Schizosaccharomyces pombe: one gene and its partners. The gene in region 1 interacts genetically with each later gene. Each region holds a gene or a part of one and is shown in the gene's direction. Other genes may lie near its edges. The genes, in order: cyb502, msa1, dus3 and erg31.

Region 1 (3,124 bases):
GGAAGAAATGCGGGTAAAGCTTAAGTCGTAACGTATTTCACGAAGAATGCGCATACAGTCTTTATGAACAATGGCGAAAACAAAACGCTCAGCCTTCAAGTTCTGGTCTGCAAGAGTTAAATCGAATTGAAAACGGTCAGCAACAGGTAAAACAGAAGACATAACGTTTCCCAGGAGGATTTCAACGATTTGATTAAGAGAGTAGGCTAACAAATCTTGACGAGGAAAAAGCTGAAGTGTTGTATACACATTCTTCACGTTGAGACGTCCAGTAAGATAGGAGCTAAACTCGGTAGGAGAGTCATAAATGATTGGAGAACTGTTAGGACCTGGTCCATATTGTGCAAACTGTTGGCGAAAGCTAGACTGTAAGGAACCATACCAGCGAGAAGCGATTTTTTGGTTTTTCTTCTTTTGCGTGATAAAAGAAAAAACATAAAGGAAAAAACAAGCAAGAATAACAAATTCAAGACGGAAATCTCTCCAATCGACATGCTTGAACATTCCTGGATTCTCCAACTCGGGATTCATATTGTAATCCTCTTCGTATTCATCTTCCTCATCAGCCAGTACTCCTTTAGCTAGTGCAAAAACTAGAAACAAAAGCTTTTTATTAATCATGGTTCCTCCGCTTGTAAATTTACTGACTTTCGTGAAAGAAAAAAGGGCACTGGTTGTACGAAGTGAGATTGAACGTGGTGAAATAAGTAACGAACGAGACAAGCCGGTTCCTAGAGTGGGAAGATTAACTAGTGTATATAGATAGTTTAAAATAAGTCGGTAACCAGAACATGTCGCGATGGTGTAGTTGGGAGCATGACAGACTGAAGATCTGTTGGTCATCGGTTCGATCCCGGTTCGTGACACTTTTTTTGACGTGGAGAAAACACTTTGTACTAGTTATATCCAACATAATTTTGAGGTTTTTTCTTTTTACTTATTTTTATTTTTCTAGTTGCTATATGTGAAGCAAAATTAGATAGCTAACGGATGCTCAAGAATATTGTACTGGCACTTCAGCTTGTTATTGCAAAAGTTACAAAAACAGTCTGCAAAGACAAACAAGCATAGAAGCTCAGTTGGTCTAAATGTATATTACTAGATCGGTTCTGTAATTATTGGTGTTTTATTAGCAATGAATGGTGCTTTCAACTGAATATATCCGACAGAGAAACTATATGGCGTTACAATTTTCAAAGGTAGTAGTTTATCTATTTGGTAAATGATAGTTGTACGAACTGCTACGCATTTACTCAAAATCTTAGTTACATTCATGCGTTCTATATAAAAGAAAGTCATTTTGTACTTGCTTGTTTACGTATACGATCGGTTAATCTCAACAAAGCAAATAAAAGGAAGCTAGTCACCCTGTTGTACTTTATACCTAGGACATATTTTTTTTTTCAAACATGTAACATACCGTTACTGAAGAATGTCATAAGCTTAACGCTAGCTAAATTAAGCTTGTATCAAAGTTGCGAGGGATATTGAGATCTATCGTTATTAGATCATTATAGATAAAAAGATATAAATGAGAAATCCTCCATACCTCAACAATAATTGTTTATTGGTAAAAAAATATTATTCCTATCCACTTTTTGGTTAAGCAGAAAATCTGGCAGAATTTTGTACATGCCGCTTTGCCTATCATTGGCTGCTAAATAAATTCCTTGAGCTCGTTTGTTCGATTATTTACTACTACCACACGATACCCTAACGTGAGATTTTCTCTACTAGCGATATCAAAACTTTCGCAAACTTTTTCCAACTCCCCTCAACACACGATTTTTATTATATAGATTTATTTATCAAGATGTCGGTGAAATACTTTGAACCTGAGGAGATTGTGGAGCACAATAATTCCAAAGACATGTACATGGTCATTAATGGAAAAGTTTACGACGTTAGTAACTTTGCTGATGATCATCCTGGAGGCTTAGATATAATGTTGGACTATGCAGGTAAATAATTCGACAAAACTTTTGTAGAAGTAAACACCATATTATGTTGGAGACTGCTATGCTCAAAAGCGATAGTATACTTTTAATCGCTATCGTTTCATTCATCAGTTCTTCACTTGTGTGCCTTCTTGATTAAAACATTGTATACGGCTTTTTAAACATGTCCACTAACTATTTGTTTTAGGCCAGGACGCCACTAAGGCCTATCAGGACATTGGACACTCTATTGCTGCAGATGAGTTACTAGAAGAGATGTATATTGGTGATTTAAAACCCGGAACTGAGGAGAGACTCAAAGAATTAAAGAAACCTCGTTCATTTGATAATGATACGCCTCCGTAAGAAAATGATTTGTGTACGATGGTTGTTTCATGCTAACAGAACAGATTGCCTCTATTAATCGCATTAATTGTCCTGCCAGCCATAGCAGTAATTGTGTTTGTTAAGCTTAACAAATAAACTTCGAAGGCTTGCCTATTTATTTTCCTAATCTTTATACCTTCTTTTGTTTTTCGCGATGTTAGTATCACTCAATATTATTATGGATAGCAATTGTTTTCAAGGCTTCTAAAGAAACAAAATAAACGTTAACTTAGAAAAATATATTTCTTAAATGTCTTCCTTCAGTAAGAGAGCTCTTAAAAACAATGAGTTCAGCTCGTAACATGTAATTAACTCATGGAGATATTAAACAAACCAAAAAAGTATAACAAAAAGATTTAGCTAATAGTAAAGAGGGAAGTATGTAATCAGAAGTGGAATATAACTAATGGAAAAATTAGTTCTATTGGGCTTATGAAGGACTTCCAGTAATATTCGGTTGGACTTTAGATAAATTGATTACCATCTTTCCTTTGATTTCTTTATCACTCAGCTTAATGTTGTTAATATCATCAATCAAAACACCTAGTTTCCTTATTATAAACTCGGTTTCCTGCTCGGTAGGTTTAGCAACATCGTATTTTGGATCTAAATTCAATGAGTCGATTTGATCTAATACCTCCCTATCGCAATCATTATGTTAATATAGTTTCTACTGTATAAAAAGAATTTATCAAAAGCTTACTCATAAATGTTGTCCCGAGGGTCTCGCTGAGGTGCTTCGGTTCTCAATCGTAAAGAAAAGACGTCAATGAATTTATTTCTATTTTCAGTTAACAAAG
Region 2 (6,536 bases), on another chromosome or scaffold:
CCCTAATAGCATTTGTTAAGCAGTAAATAATAACTGGTTTCCCTGGTATAAGACATAGTATAAGAACGAGAAGAAATAAATCATATATGGTATTTTTTTTGTTTGGTTTAGTAATGAAGTTCTTTTTTTTTAAAATGGCCCAGTAATAAAAAAGTTCACGAAGAACGTAGTTAGAAAGCTTGATAAATAAATTAAATGAAATCTATGCTCTTTAGAAAGTTCTATGATCTGGCTTGGAGAAGAGTAGTACATAACAGTATGGTAATGTAGTTAGAGCTTCTCTTAACATGCGTACGTTTTCATACCTCTTAATAGTAGGGATGGTTCAGTTCATACAGCTACCTAGTTCACCCCATCAATCAATCAATCAATCGATACAGTCACTCTTCAAAGCATTTTGAGAGTTCTCCCACAGATTTTATGCTAGCTGGAGTTCCGACTTGTTTATTAAAGTAGGAAGGTTGGAAGCGAACCATATCTAACAAACTTTTTTCAAAACGAAAATTAAAAGCAAATTAAACTTTCATTGTCTTACGTCCCATGTTAGGGGGGGGAAGCAGCTAAACAATGATGATTTATAGATGGTTGCCTCGGCTATTATTTACTTTGTTTCATATCTGAAAGAAGAGTAAGGGATAGGATACGCCAAAGATCCACCATAAAACGGTTTATCAACAAAAGGATCATCATCGAATTTGGTTTATGAGTCTTTCAAATGTACTCGTGTTTGTTAGTTTAACATACTATTGCATCCACTAGAGATAGTTAAGAGAAGCTGATTTACAAATGATCGGTTTCGACATGTCTGCCAAGTTATACTTTTAACGTATTACCAAGAAAAAAAAATTTACGGGACGGGGATTCCATTCTTGCTGCTTTGGTTTATACTGTAAGCATAACAGCAATCTTAAATTGAATCGTCTTTGCCAAGCGCATTTGTAAGAGTATTGTATGCTATGCCACGCAGTGCATTTTCATATCCAACGCTACATACAATTTGTTGTTACTCTTTCTGTAGACCATTTCGGAACGTTGATTGAAGATCGGAAAATTTAATGTTTCGTCCAGAAATTGTCTGCATATGTAGTATCACAGAGAGTGTCAAGTCATATCTGACAGCATCAGGTTAATGAGCTTAATTTGGGCCAAAGGCGAGCTAGAAAAGAAGAAGAAAAAAAGAAAAAGTAAACAGTAAAGAAAAACATATAACGACTCTTATTCATCCTTCCTCAGCATTCCCTTTTTCATATTTTTATCCCATTCTAATCCTAGTCTAAGAAATGCTGGCGATATAGACCGAGTCTACTGGTGTCTGGAAAGGAACATAGCTATATCTATATATAGATATAGATATAGATATGTATGTATGCTTGTATTTCGTTGGCAGTTTTCTAGTTTAACTAGCAAAATACAAGAATTAAAATTAGTATTAGTATTATTATTATTATTTTTAAACATTTAAACATCGACTAATTTTTTCAACATCTGTTTTCACTTTCAAGTATCGACTACTTTCTACATTCCAACGATCCATTCTTTATTATAGATTCACCCTTTTCCTCGATAAATAAGCACCATTACACATACTTAAAATTTTTGTTTCAAAGGGAAGCTAAACTGTACGACGATGTTTATCGTTATACTCAGCTGTCACTTATCCAGAACTCACTCCATCAGAGTGCGTGCATTTAGCTTGCTCCCTGCACATCCCACTACAAAGTGTTAGAGATAGGCAATCGGAGTTAGAATACCGAGACTTTATTCCAAGGTAAAAACACATCTAGAAATGGGGACAAACAAAGAAACAAAAGGTCATGTGAATGTTAGATTCAAGGGGTAGAGTTCGATATCTCAGCAAGCGATTCCTTTTTTTTTTTTTTTTTTTTTTTTTGAGAAAACCTCGGTACACGCTAAGCTGGCTTTTCCTATTGTTACTCCTTTTACTACTAGTATTATACTATTGCTTTGCTTTGTTGAATAAACAGTCTATAGAACGCTCAAGAAAATACGACGAAAATAGTTTATTCATAGCTTGACAAACTAACTACCTTTGTTTTGTTTTGTTTTTTTCTTTTCTTTTTTTTTTCGTTTCTTAGCTTGGCTATAGCTTGCGTATTCTGTCTTTGTCAGTCATTAATCCAGACAGTAATATAACATATTCACCTTGTTCTTTTAAAGGTCTCCCTTTTTTTCTTTGTTGCTCATCTAGATTGTGCTTAATTTTTTTTTTGTATACTAATCAAAATTCAATTTATTTTTCTTTAGTTATTTATTTGTTTTTTTTTTCGCTTTATTGGATCCTATTGTAAAAAATCATCTTTTTCATTGTGCTTGCAATTTACCTTTCTTTGACGATTACGCCTTTGTTCACGACTTTTAGCATTCTTCCTTTTTCTATCTCCATGGGGCCGTTGTTAACTTACTCCTAAAATTTGTAGTTGCTTATCTTCACAACCAAAGGATGCTTCGGTGCAGCACCCAATTTTTAGCCCATTACCCTGTGCCCAATTCTCAATGTCTCATCATTTGTCAATACTAGCTTGTTCCTTATACTCCCTGTAACCCACTATCTAAGACATTGTGGAGAGGGAAATGTTGGCAGTAGTGATATACTTCCGAATGGACAATTGCCTATCAATCGTGGTAAAGGAGAATGGCTAGAATTTAGTAAAATGATATGGCCCAAATAGAACGGTAAAATTACTAAAAGATTGAGGATTTGAGGCAGCGTCTTGGTCGTTTGACTAATTATTAGAGTGTAAGCAGGATTCGGATGTATTGCTCCTTTAGTTAATCATATCGTCTGGTTTTGCTCCCTAATGTCCCTTGTCCTCTTTTATGCCGCCTACATTACCGATGAAGAACACGTGTTGAAATCCCCGAGTTTGCAAGTAGTCTTGATATACAATGTCTTTTCCTCGTATATTCCGAGCAGATCTAAACCTTCGTCGTGAATAACCCCCTTCTTTGCTTTCACCTAAATCAATTGCTATTCGAGGGTTTTCGATTCTCTCCTTTCTCCATTAACATACTAAATTCAATTTCTCTTTGTGTGGGTTGCTTCCTTTTTGCTGAGACGTCTCCCCGTCTTCCATCCTGTCTTTATCAGTTTTGTTGCATTTCTGATCACCCATTTTTTCTTTTTTTCCTTTTCTTTTGTTATCTATCGAATACCTCCACATTGCTTGAAATACTAGTGAGACTGCGTTTACCTTCTCTTCTCATCTGATTCTGTCTGTGCCATTGAGCTTTCCTTCGCTCTCCTCTTGCACCTTTTGTTGCGTTTACTGGCTTCTTTATTTTTATTTGTTTTCTTTTTCACCTCAAACTTTCTCTGTGTTCAGCTTTTCGAGATATTCAACTGCAATTGTACTGCTCTTTGATTCTTTCACCTTTTTCAATTCGAACTTGCTACTCCCTCAAGCTTATCCAATTATTTTTTAGCTTCCACTTGAGAAGAGTTCTCTCTATCCATCACCCAAAAACTGAAATTTCATCTTTGTGAAATTTCTTTCACGGTCTGATCACCGTGCAAGCTATTTCTATTCCCCATTTTACTTTTCTCATCATCTGACTCTTATTCTGGAAATACTCGTTTCCCCCACTCAAATATATATTTATTCTTTGGGCTTTCCTTAGACTATTGTTAGACTGCAAAGTCTCGTTTGGTTTACCTACTGTCTATCTCTGGTTTTGGTTTTTCATTTTCCATTTCTGTTTCAGCTGGTTTCTCAAAATCTTCATCCTTTCTTTCTTTCTTTCTTTTGACTCGTCATTTTTAAGAGCCATTCCATTTCTTTCTTATTTATACGTGTATAATCTCTATTTTATCTTTGCATTTTTGCACTAAATTACCATACGCTTGCGTTTTTTTCTTTCCCTATTTCTGCAATTTTATTACCTGAGTAAAAGTTTTCCCATTCGTTTTTTCCTATCCCTTCTTTGATCAATTTTATTTATCTTTTCTTTTGACCAAATTTTTTCTCTGGGGTTTTTTTTAAACTTTGTTTTGAAGGAAATTTTAAATTAATTAACTTTTAACTTTTTCAGTTGAAATACTTTTCATTCTTTTTTCTACGCAGCTTTTGGATTGCTGTTGACACATCATCTCATAACTATCTATTGTATTCCATATAATCGACTGATACGACCTCCATCCCACTTTGGCGCAGGCATCTCGTATAAAGTTTTGTCTTTTTAATTTGATATCAATCCGGCATCCTTGTTTCATGCCCCTTTATAGATCCTTTCTCATTCCAAACTTTTTTTTTAAACACATTATTTAAAAATGGTTGTTTCCTCTCCGTCTGTATCTTTATTGCATTCTCCTGTCGAAAAATTATCAGCCCAACTCGAAAAAACAACGCTTTTACAAGACATTCCCCCAGGTTCTTTATCCGAAAATGATAATTCCACTACCTTTATAAAGCCTCCTTTGGAAACTGCATCATCAAGCACCCCTATCCCAAGTTCCTCTTCCAGTGGAGTATTAAATCCGTCGTCTGTCCGTGGAAAACCAGTTGCCTGTTTATTTGTTGCTAGCTTAAACTCTTCAAGGTCTGAGGAAGAGCTGACTGCCACTGTTAAAGATTACTTTCAACAGTGGGGTCCTTTGTTGCATGTCAAAGTTTTGAAAGATTGGTTGCAAAGGCCTTATTCTTTTGTTCAATTTCAAAATACTGATGATGCATCGAAAGCACTTTCTGAAGCCCAAAACACGATATTGGATGGCCGTCATATACGTATAGAGCGCGCCAAAGTTAATAGGACAATCCGTATATCCTCTGCACCCCATCAACCTTACATTACAAAAAAAGACATAGATAACTTATTGGAACCTTATGGCGAGGTTGAAGATGTCACGGAAATACCAGATCAATCCGCTTTCTTAGTACGGTTTGTTTACAGGGATGAAGCAATCGCAGCCTATACCGCGCTTAAGCATTCTGCCTGGCCTGTACTTTGGGCGGAAAATGTGACATATCAAAACGGTCACTATAAGAAGAAAGGTTCCTCCCCGTTTTCTCCACCTAACGCACATAGTCGAAGGCGAAAGTCGCAAGGCAAAGATCAGTCGAACACTCCTGTTATCAAAGCACCTGCCCCTATTCCATTCTCAGTTTCTTCCGATCCTCCTTCTACCATGGGAAGATCAAATTCCGCGGTTCAAAGTCCCTCATACTTTGCTCACTCATTGGTCAATTCTACTGAATTCAGTACTCCTAATGAATCTTTAAGCTCCTTACCGAGTATATTACCTTCAATACCCTCTTTAGAAAGCGGCAAGGCCGAACTCCCAACAGATGGTTCTTTTGAACAGCCTGGATATCCCATGAACCCCTCTATGATGTTTGCTGCAATGCCTCCACCGATTGATCCTTATTCTATATTCGTTGGCCAACTCGACCCAGTAAATTGCACACACTACTTACTAGTTGATCTATTTTCCAAATATGGAAAGGTAATCGATTGTAAAATAATTCATCAAAGCAAGAAGCCTGCTTTTGCTTTTCTAAGGTTTGATTCTCAACAAGCCGCTTATGCTGCCGTCTGCGGTAAGACGAGGTCCCCACACCAGAAAAAGCCTTTGCGTGTTGAATTTCGTCAACTAAGACCAATGCAGCAATTTTCCCCTCAATATCAATATCCCTCCTATCCATATCCGATGTTTCCAGCGCCATTTTCACCACCTCGTAATGCAATGATGCCAATCCCTGCACCCATGGATCAGTTTTCAACATTTCACCAGTCAATGGCTACCCTTCCTCCTGGTGCCGTTCCCACATCAATTCCTCAGTCGTACTATCCCATTTATTCTCCAGAAATGGCTATGCCTCAATCGTACAGTCCGATGTATTATACGCATAACCCACCTATGGATGGGAATTAGATTTATTTTGAATTTCCCTTCATTATCTGATTGAGGTTTCACTTCTTTATACAGTCCTTAAGTGTCGGAGTTTTTTTTATTAGGTACATATTCTATAAAACACTAATAATTATCTAATTTATTTTACTTAAAAGATGCAAATTGGCTGCAATTATATTTAAAAGATTTAGAGTCATAAATGTTATTATGTTCATATATATGTCTTCTATATAATTTTACGAATTAGTGTAACTCGTAACAGTTCTCTACTTTACGCATTAACGATATAATGATATTAGATAGAAGTTTATTTATATATGCTCCCAAATATAGATGTTCTCACACATGTATCGTATACACTCTAACCATTTGATTATTTTCACTACATAAATTTTTACAAAAATACTATATAAAGTCAATTCATTTTATGAAATTTTTAATTTGAGGCTGTAATATTACGTGAACTTTTTATTTTGGCTTACTGGCGAACTGAAAAAAGAAAATTAGTTTTTTTTTTAACAGACCTCTATTTCATAGCTTTAGACTTTCTCAAAACACTAGTTTCATATAAATATTCCTTATAGACACTAAATACAAAAAAAGGTTCGTGAGGTAAAGAACCAGAAAAAGAAAAAAATTATAAAGACAGGACAAGCATAAGTTTACA
Region 3 (4,419 bases), on another chromosome or scaffold:
GTCTAAAGGAATACAATAAAATTTCCTACCAAAAATACATGCAAAATCCTTCAAAGCATCTAAACGACCCTCTTTATCAAACACTTCAGCTAAGTACGAAGCAGCGAAAGGTTGGGTAAAAACACCAGCTGCCGGTGGCGTCTTCAGTTTAGAAGACCTAGGATGAGGTGCAGAATCACTCCCAAAGAAAAACTTGGGATTTTTACTGGTAGCAGCTTCAATAAGAGCACGTCGGTCTCGTTCGGTTTTGGCTACCGGCTTGCAGAAACAATAAGGATCATCCTGCCAATCTTTTTGTGTGAGATAAAGATGATGGGCAGTTATAGTACCCGCAACACTTTCACCGCATGCTTTTACTGCCTCAACAGCGTCGGCAGTGGTGCAATGTTCAAGCACAATCTTGAGTTTTGGAAATCTTTGGTGAAGGTCTAGTAAAGTAGGAAGAAACTTGGGCTCAGCCGTAAAAACGGTGTTATCCTTAGAGGGGGGAACTTCTCCGTGAATGTTCAGAATCATACCTGTTTCTTGCATTGCAGCAAAGGTAGGATAAAAGGGTTCGTAGCTTTCAACACCACTTTCAGAATTGGTAGTAGCTCCTTTCGGATATGATTTAACTCCTCGAATTCCCTTTTTTGCAGCTTCGTAAATAACCTCAGGTGTAGTTTCCGGTGAGAGATAAAGACTCATTAAATAGGTGGTCTTGGAGTCAAGCTGCTCAATTTCTTTTTTATATTGCAAACAGGCATCAACGGTAGTAATTGGGGGGATTAAATTAGGCTGTTATACGCGTTAAAAAGTTAAACCTTTGTAACCTTCAAATAAATTTTTTGAATAGCACAATACTTATTACATACCATTACATACGCAACAGAGACTCCACCCTCTGCGACCGTTGGAACTACAGCTTTTAACATATTATCTTGCCTTAGATGAACATGCATATCAGCCAAACCAGGTATTTTCAAACTCATCTTGTATAGGTAGTGGGTATTGTCAAGTTGAGTAACTAGAAAGGTGCACTTTATACTTAGTGCTAAATTAAACCAAGAATAAACAATCTTAACAATTGGTAAAAAAATACTACTTAAAATTAGTATGTTTCTTTCAATATAAATTAGTGAGGGTAATATAATTACTTCAAAAAAATTTACTATACCGATAATTCTCCAACTAATTTCAAAGATTTAATTGATCGGAGTTAAACCAAATATTATTTCTTAATTCTTTTTATTAAAGTTCAGATGCCTAATTCTAAACATAAGAATTCACCAACAGCTTAATTATTAGACCACCGTCCTGACTCTTCGGAAGCATAGAGCTACTTGCTTAATCATTGAAGCTCCATTATTAGATCTACCTTAGTATAAAAGAAATCCGAAACGTGTAACTACTAGCATTTCCTGTTTATGTGTAAATATACAGGTACATAATATGAAGAATTATGGTCATCAGTACAAAGCAGTTTAAATTTAACTTAGTAATATCTTGGCATCTGAAGAATATACAACTCAATGAATAGCAGCATCTCAAAAGTGTGCATTCTAAACGTCTTTAAGATTTATACATTTCTAATTTCAATAGACAGTTACAGCCATTGTTACGTTTTACAAAACATAACTGTGTACCTAAAAGCATATAGCGTTAATATTACTATGCAGTTTTAGAGTTTTTTTTTATCTATTAGGCAATATGATTGCTTTTCGAATCTATCATGTAAACCGTTAATTTTGAATATTGCACTGCTACGTCGTATCTTATTTTCACAGACGCGCACAGAATCTAGAGAAAATATGCAGTTTGCATAAAGCAAACTACTAAATTCAAGGGAAATCGGATTTTTGGGTACTTAATGGCAGAATTGGAGACTGGAGCGGTTCCTATTCGGGAAGAGTATGCTTGAACCTCGCTTTCAATAGTCAATTACTAACTATACCTTAGATTTTTGGTGAAACAAGATGGAAATAAAAAACGAAAGCGTAAAGAGAGGGGTCAAAATAAACGGAGAGAAAAAATTCACGTAAAAGAGAACAACGCTCTTTGTCCAGCTATATCTATTGGGAATGAGTGTCCATATAAAGAAAACTGCAAATTCCCACACGATGTGGAGGCTTACCTTGCTACCAAGGCACCTGACATTGGAGACAAATGCCCTATATTCGAGCGGTATGGAGTATGCCCAGCTGGTTTCAAATGTCGCTGGCTAGCGGGCCATGTTGTTATCAATGCAGACGGAAAGTACGAGCTTATAAAAAAACCCGATGGGCAGTTTACGCTTTTTACCGTAAATACTGTTGGAAAAGAGGTACAGAGAAAGCTAAGAACAAAACAGTTAGATCTATCAAAGGCTGAAAGTATTATATCCGCAGTTTTAGGTGAAGAAAAGCCCGACCCTTCTTCAAAAGTATCCAATATTCCTGAGGAAAATAGAGATGCCACTAGTGCTATTTCCGAAGGAAAAGAGACAGAATCTGTTTCACTGGAAGAAACTGGGGTGTTAAAAAATCAAACCGTCTCGGTCAATGTCGATTTAAAAGAAATCTCTTCACAAGCTCGGTCAAACATCGCTTTACCTACTTTACGGCCTCAAGAAAAAAATCTCATTGACTGGCGAGACAGAAAGATTCTAGCTCCTCTTACCACCGTTGGAAATCCACCTTTTCGTCGTCTTTGTGGCTCTCTGGGTGCTGATACGTTTTACTCCGAAATGGCGATGTGTTATCCACTTATGCAAGGTCATCAACCTGAGTGGGCTCTTGTTCGTGGGCTAAACTATGAGCGTGAAATGATGCGAGGTGGTCGTCGTGGTATATTAGGGGTCCAACTAGCTACCGGAAAACTTTGGCAGGCCACTAAAACTGCACAAGTAATAGCTGAACAATGTGATGGCGTTGATTTTCTCGATTTAAATTGCGGTTGCCCTATAGATTTGGTATTTCGTCAAGGCGCCGGTTCTTCTCTTCTCGAGAATCCTGGCAGGTTACTTCGTAATCTCCAAGGTATGGATGCGGTATCTGGCCAAATTCCTGTCACCGTAAAACTTCGTATGGGAAACAAAGACGACCACCCAGTTGTCAAAAATTTAATTGGTAGAATTTTCAACGAAACAAACACTTCAGCTGCTACATTACATGGAAGATCTCGCCAACAGCGATATAGTAAAAACGCAAATTGGGATTATATTGGTGAAATTGCTTCTAAAGTAAAAAGTATGAATGAGAGAATAGATGAACTTCCTGAGGACTCCTTGCGTACCCAACCTCTTTCGCTGATTGGAAATGGAGACTGTTATTCATGGCAGGATTGGTATGATGGTGTTAACAAGGGTGTTGATACTGTGATGATTGCCCGAGGTGCACTCGTTAAGCCATGGATTTTTGAAGAAATTGAAGCTCGTCAGTTTATTGATAAGTCATCAACTCAACGACTCGAAATGTTGGAACAATACTGTAATAATGGTTTAGAGTATTGGGGTTCTGACTCTCAAGGAGTCAATACGACTAGGAGATTTTTCTTGGAGTTTATGAGCTTTTTCCATCGTTATACACCTATAGCTTTGTACGAAGTTCAAAGGCCCAGATTAAATGATAGACCGCCTCTATATACCGCGAGAGATGAGATGGAAACTCTCTTGGCCAGTAATAAAGTTACGGACTGGGTTAAATTGAGTGAGTTCTTCCTAGGTCCTACTCCTGAGCGATTCACCTTTACACCAAAGCACAAAAGCAATAGTGTGGAAGAGGCAGAGGGATAAACAACTTATGGTCTTAGTGTATCGAGCATTCACTTTCTTCATATGCATCATCAACTTTTCATACTTAATACTGGCTTATCATCTGGATTGAATTAAGTAGATTAATAAAATATCTGGTGACTTATATACGAGTGATCTGTGTTTGTCTCGTAAAATGCGCAAATGACTAGGCAAATTGGTAATGAATCTAACGTTATATAGTCAACTTACCCAATGGGAACTAACCAACGATCTTACAGTACTCTACAATTACTATCGAAACTACGTTGTGAAATAACTTAGCAAATATATGGTAAATAACACTGCCATACATATTTATTAACTTAAAAGGTATAATAATAACAGCAAGAGGATATTTGGTACAAAAATAACTTAATACACAATAAAAACCATTAAAAATCCAGAATCCCAAAATGACAAAACAAAAAATTAAAAAACAAAAAAAAAGCAAACAAAACAAACACAGCCATCATGTAGGTAATAAAGTAAGTGCAAAATTAACGGGAATGAATCAAAGGAGACAGGTTCACTTTACAGCTAATTCGATTGTTGTATGCAGATAAATGCAAGCCCGTAAACATCAAGCAAACTCCACACAACATGTCTACCCTTCTCAAACTTAAAAGCAAAGATAGACATAAAAGTATTCAAACTTGAAGATACGAAAC
Region 4 (4,102 bases), on another chromosome or scaffold:
TATAAAAAATGGCAATTTTGCCAGAATTTATAAGCCAAACTCCTCCGGTTACGAGGTAAGAAATGAAATATTGAGAGTACACGCTAATTTTTATGCAGATACATCGTACTTGGAACCCTATTTACAACATTGGCAGTGGTATGTTTACTCAAATTTTTCATAAATGGTATCGCTTACAAATATAGAATTTTGGTTATGTATCCGATCTTAAGATATTTTTTAATTGGAAACTGTTTTTAGCAAAAGGGGAGGTACGGTTTGTGATTGAAGTAATGTTTGACATAACATGTGATTTCCCTAATTCTAGCTTGTTAACAAGATTTATTTAGTACTGGAGGGCAATAACTACATTCCTTTATGTTGGGCCTTTTGGATTAGAGTTGATTTTATATTTGTCGTTTCTACTTCGTTTCATGAGTATGTTAGAAAGATCTAGTCCGCCGCCTCAAACACAGAGCTTCTTAAAAACGGTATTGATAGTATGGTTTTCTCTTTTAGTTACCTCCTATTTTTCCTACATGCCATTTGCAGCTTCTTACTTTTCATTTACCATGTTATACATATGGTCGTGGAAACATCCACTGTACAGAATCTCGATACTAGGTCTTTTCGACGTAAAAGCACCTTATGTTCCATGGGTAATGGTATTATTGCGCTGGTTACGAACTGGGATCTTTCCACTGCTTGATTTAATTAGTGCTTTGATTGGACATGTATACTTCTTCGTTACAGATTTTTCTACAGTATGACGCCTGAAGAGAATAAGAAAAGAAAAAAAAGTAAATAAATACCACACTTGTTTTCTGATTGACTGCTGCCTATTGATTCCTTTTCTATCTTTACAAGTCGATTTCTATTGAGCTTGTGAAAGACTAGGGATGGCGAATAGTCACTGTCTTTTGTTTATCTAAAATGTTAGATGAATGATTTCCCTAATCAAGGGCACGAATAATATTACGAAAATTTCAGGAATTCGCAGGCGTTTCCTGGTTTGCCAAGCCATTCGAGCTTTTCTTGTTATTTCTTAAAACTAAGTAATAAATGTTTTATCTCATTAGTTTTTTTTTTTTTTTTTTTTTTTTTTTTTTTAAAAAAAAAATTGGGCTACAAGCTACTATTTGTATGTTTACTTTATGCGCGAGCAACATTATGATTTCTGAATAATCGCTATTTCCATTTTAAAAGTGTTGTATTTAAGATATAATGAAAATGTAAAGTATGTAAATTATATACTATATTATATGCGAGTATTTCAACATGGGCATGTGGTGTAGATGGTTATCACGCTTCCTTAGCATGGAAGAGGTCCCAGATTCGAGTTCTGGCTTGTCCAAAATTTTTGTTTTTAAATAATTTTATTATTTTACTTTATTTATTTTTTTTTTTTTTTAAACGACTATGTTCTAACTGCGTATTTATCGTCTTAAAACATCAGCAACATATTGCATACTCTTGAGAAATACCATTATCGTTCCTAGACTTACAAATGCAAGTGGATTAAAAAGAACAAAATGGGGGTACCAAATTAGTCCAAGTCTAAGAATAGCAATCTAGCGTAACCTCTAAGCCTTTGAGAACAAACCCGAGATGGAGGAATGTTAACCTTCTTTTTTCAATTTTTTATCTTTCTTATTTAATTTTTCATCTCATTTACTTATAATAGTTTTAAGATTAGATCTTGTATCGTAAAGTTGATTATTTTCGACTAATATATACCCACTTGCTCGATATCAAACATTCATGTCCAACCTCGTTGTACTTGTTGAATAGCGAGCCCCCGTAGTACTATTCCCCCACATAGTAAGTGTAAGAGATTCTTCCCGCCACAGTGATGTCCTTTCCGATCTGCCCTATCTACCTCTCACTAACCGAAGTGTATAAGCCACCTCTTTGTTTTTTGATAAAAACTTTAACGAAAAAGATAACTCGGTTTCCTATTGACTAATTAATAGCAGCCAACTAGATATCGCAATCAAAATCAGACCATTTTTTGGTACTTCTTATACGCTACCACCGGTCAATAGATTTTAAGCAAACACCTCAATGGACTACCTACTCAACTATGCTGACCAATATGCGCTGGATTCGATATACAATGCTGTATATCCATTAGCTCGCGACAATATCGTTAGACAGTCGATCAGTTTGTTTTTTTTAACTTGGTTTGGCGGTATGTTCTTGTATTTAACATTTGCGTCGCTTTCCTACCAATTTGTGTTTGATAAAAGTCTGATGGATCACCCAAAGTTCTTAAAAAACCAGGTGTTCATGGAAGTTCTAACGGCTTTACAAAACTTACCTGGTATGGCGTTATTGACGGTTCCGTGGTTTTTGGCTGAGTTGCATGGGTACAGCTACTTATACGACAACATCAGTGATTACGGTTTAAAATACTTCTTATGTTCCTTACCTCTTTTTGTCATGTTCTCAGATTTTGGCATTTACTGGGCTCATCGTTTCCTTCATCACCGTTATGTATACCCTCGTCTTCACAAACTCCATCATAAGTGGATTATCTGCACTCCATATGCATCCCATGCTTTCAAATCCGCTGATGGCTTCTTACAATCTCTTCCTTACCATCTTTTCCCCTTTTTCTTTCCCCTTCACAAGTTGACCTACTTGGCTCTTTTCACCTTTGTCAACTTCTGGTCCATCATGATTCACGATGGTAAATACATCTCCAACAACCCCATCATCAATGGTGCTGCTCACCATAATGGCCATCACATTTATTTCAACTACAATTACGGCCAATTCACCACCCTCTTTGATCGCCTCGGCAACTCTTTCCGGGCCCCCGATGAGGCATGGTTTGACAAAGATCTTCGCCAAAACGAGGATGTTCTTCGTGTCGAATTGATGGAGTACGAGGCTATTCGTAATGAAGTTGAAGGTGATGATGATAGAGAATACATCGCTAACTCTGCTAAGAAGAACCATTAAACAACATATCTAGACTCAGAAGAGTTTGTCTCTGAAAAGATTTTACTTTTTTTTTTCGTTTTCATCATTCCCATTTCATTTTTCCCCGTTGGTTTTACTCTTTTGGTCACGTATTTCTATTTCTATGGTTGGTATTACATGCATTATTTACCCGCTCTACCTTCAGTTGCTATAAAGGAACAATGTGAGCGATTTTATATATCCTTTGCAAACTTTTTGCTAATTTACATTTCGAGTCTCTTTAGCATTCCCAAGTTTGTTTTTTTTCGGTTTATTCTTTTAGAACGATAAATCCAGAAAATTTGGAAGTCTCGCATCTAGTCATTCACTCCTTTCTTTTCAAATGACTTGTTTTTTTTGCTTTGCAATTTCTTACCACCTCCCTTTTGAAACGTTGTTTGTTCAGTTGGGTTGATTGGTACTATCATCTCACAAATAATTTACTTCAAATACACTCGTTTTTGCTGTTCACGTCGTTGTAGTTGTTTGCTAGTTTCGTATACGAAATGAAAATTTTGCTCTTATCTTTACTTTTCTATTTTGAAATAAAATGAATGTCAAGCTTACACATGTCATCGACACTAATTTTGATTTGCAATAACTAGTAACTATTCGTTTGTAAACCACTGCTAATTAATCAAAAATTACCAGACTCCTTTCCATTTATTGACTTAGTATGTAATTAGATTTACATGTTTTTCTATTTCTATTTACATATTGATATCTAACGTTGCCAGATGATTTCCTAGAATTTTGTACCCTTTTGATGTTTGCTATATCTTAGGTAGTATTGAATCATAATATTACTTCGCCTCACCAGCTTCTTTCATGTAGTCTACGAAGCAAAAACTTAGTAATGACTCTACCAAAAGAATTTTTAATGAGGACAAAAAAATGAATTAAACAATAATAAAAACAAAACATTCTTTTGAAACCTAACCATAAAATATTAATTGAATCAATCACAAACATTTTACTAGTATAAGAATTATGATATATATGTATATATGAGATTCTGCAGTATACTTTCCAGAATGAAAGAATTACCGATTACATTTCTCATCCAATTAAAGTTTTAAAGTCGCTGAAAAACTTTCAGCAAACTAAGATGGTCTACTTATGACTCCTAAAATAACAATTAAGAAAATAATCGTGA

What was found.
Region 2: mutations in cyb502 (region 1) and msa1 together harm fitness less than expected from each alone (positive genetic interaction), as found in Schizosaccharomyces pombe (one large-scale study listed by BioGRID).
Region 3: mutations in cyb502 (region 1) and dus3 together harm fitness more than expected from each alone (negative genetic interaction), as found in Schizosaccharomyces pombe (one large-scale study listed by BioGRID).
Region 4: mutations in cyb502 (region 1) and erg31 together harm fitness less than expected from each alone (positive genetic interaction), as found in Schizosaccharomyces pombe (one large-scale study listed by BioGRID).

What each region holds. Positions count from the first base shown.
Region 1 is NC_003423.3:2,574,118-2,577,241, reverse strand, and holds cyb502 (cytochrome b5), read left to right. Parts: upstream 1-1,776; 5' UTR 1,777-1,813; coding exon 1,814-1,961; exon of another isoform or gene 1,962-2,145; coding exon 2,146-2,299; exon of another isoform or gene 2,300-2,347; coding exon 2,348-2,420; 3' UTR 2,421-2,579; downstream 2,580-3,124. Other genes in the region: SPOM_SPBC2G5.01 (Ca(2+) binding protein), read right to left, coding at 1-621; Ragulator-Rag complex subunit Lam1, read right to left, coding at 2,755-2,965, 3,028-3,105.
Region 2 is NC_003424.3:2,317,992-2,324,527, reverse strand, and holds msa1 (RNA-binding protein Msa1), read left to right. Parts: upstream 1-1,702; 5' UTR 1,703-4,288; coding exon 4,289-5,890; 3' UTR 5,891-6,036; downstream 6,037-6,536. UniProt on the Schizosaccharomyces pombe protein: Negative regulator of sexual differentiation. Acts by repressing the transcription of meiosis-inducing, ste11-regulated genes.
Region 3 is NC_003424.3:4,427,835-4,432,253, forward strand, and holds dus3 (tRNA dihydrouridine synthase Dus3), read left to right. Parts: upstream 1-1,801; 5' UTR 1,802-1,849; coding exon 1,850-1,890; exon of another isoform or gene 1,891-1,938; coding exon 1,939-3,751; 3' UTR 3,752-3,907; downstream 3,908-4,419. Other genes in the region: dihydroorotase Ura2, read right to left, coding at 1-777, 855-971. UniProt on the Schizosaccharomyces pombe protein: Catalyzes the synthesis of dihydrouridine, a modified base, in various RNAs, such as tRNAs and mRNAs. Modifies the uridine in position 47 (U47) in the D-loop of tRNAs. Also able to mediate formation of dihydrouridine outside of the D-loop of tRNAs.
Region 4 is NC_003424.3:931,896-935,997, reverse strand, and holds erg31 (C-5 sterol desaturase Erg31), read left to right. Parts: upstream 1-2,029; 5' UTR 2,030-2,043; coding exon 2,044-2,946; 3' UTR 2,947-3,573; downstream 3,574-4,102. Other genes in the region: SPOM_SPAC1687.17C (Der1 family protein), read left to right, coding at 9-55, 99-138, 186-251, 330-749. UniProt on the Schizosaccharomyces pombe protein: C-5 sterol desaturase; part of the third module of ergosterol biosynthesis pathway that includes by the late steps of the pathway. Erg31 and erg32 catalyze the introduction of a C-5 double bond in the B ring to produce 5-dehydroepisterol.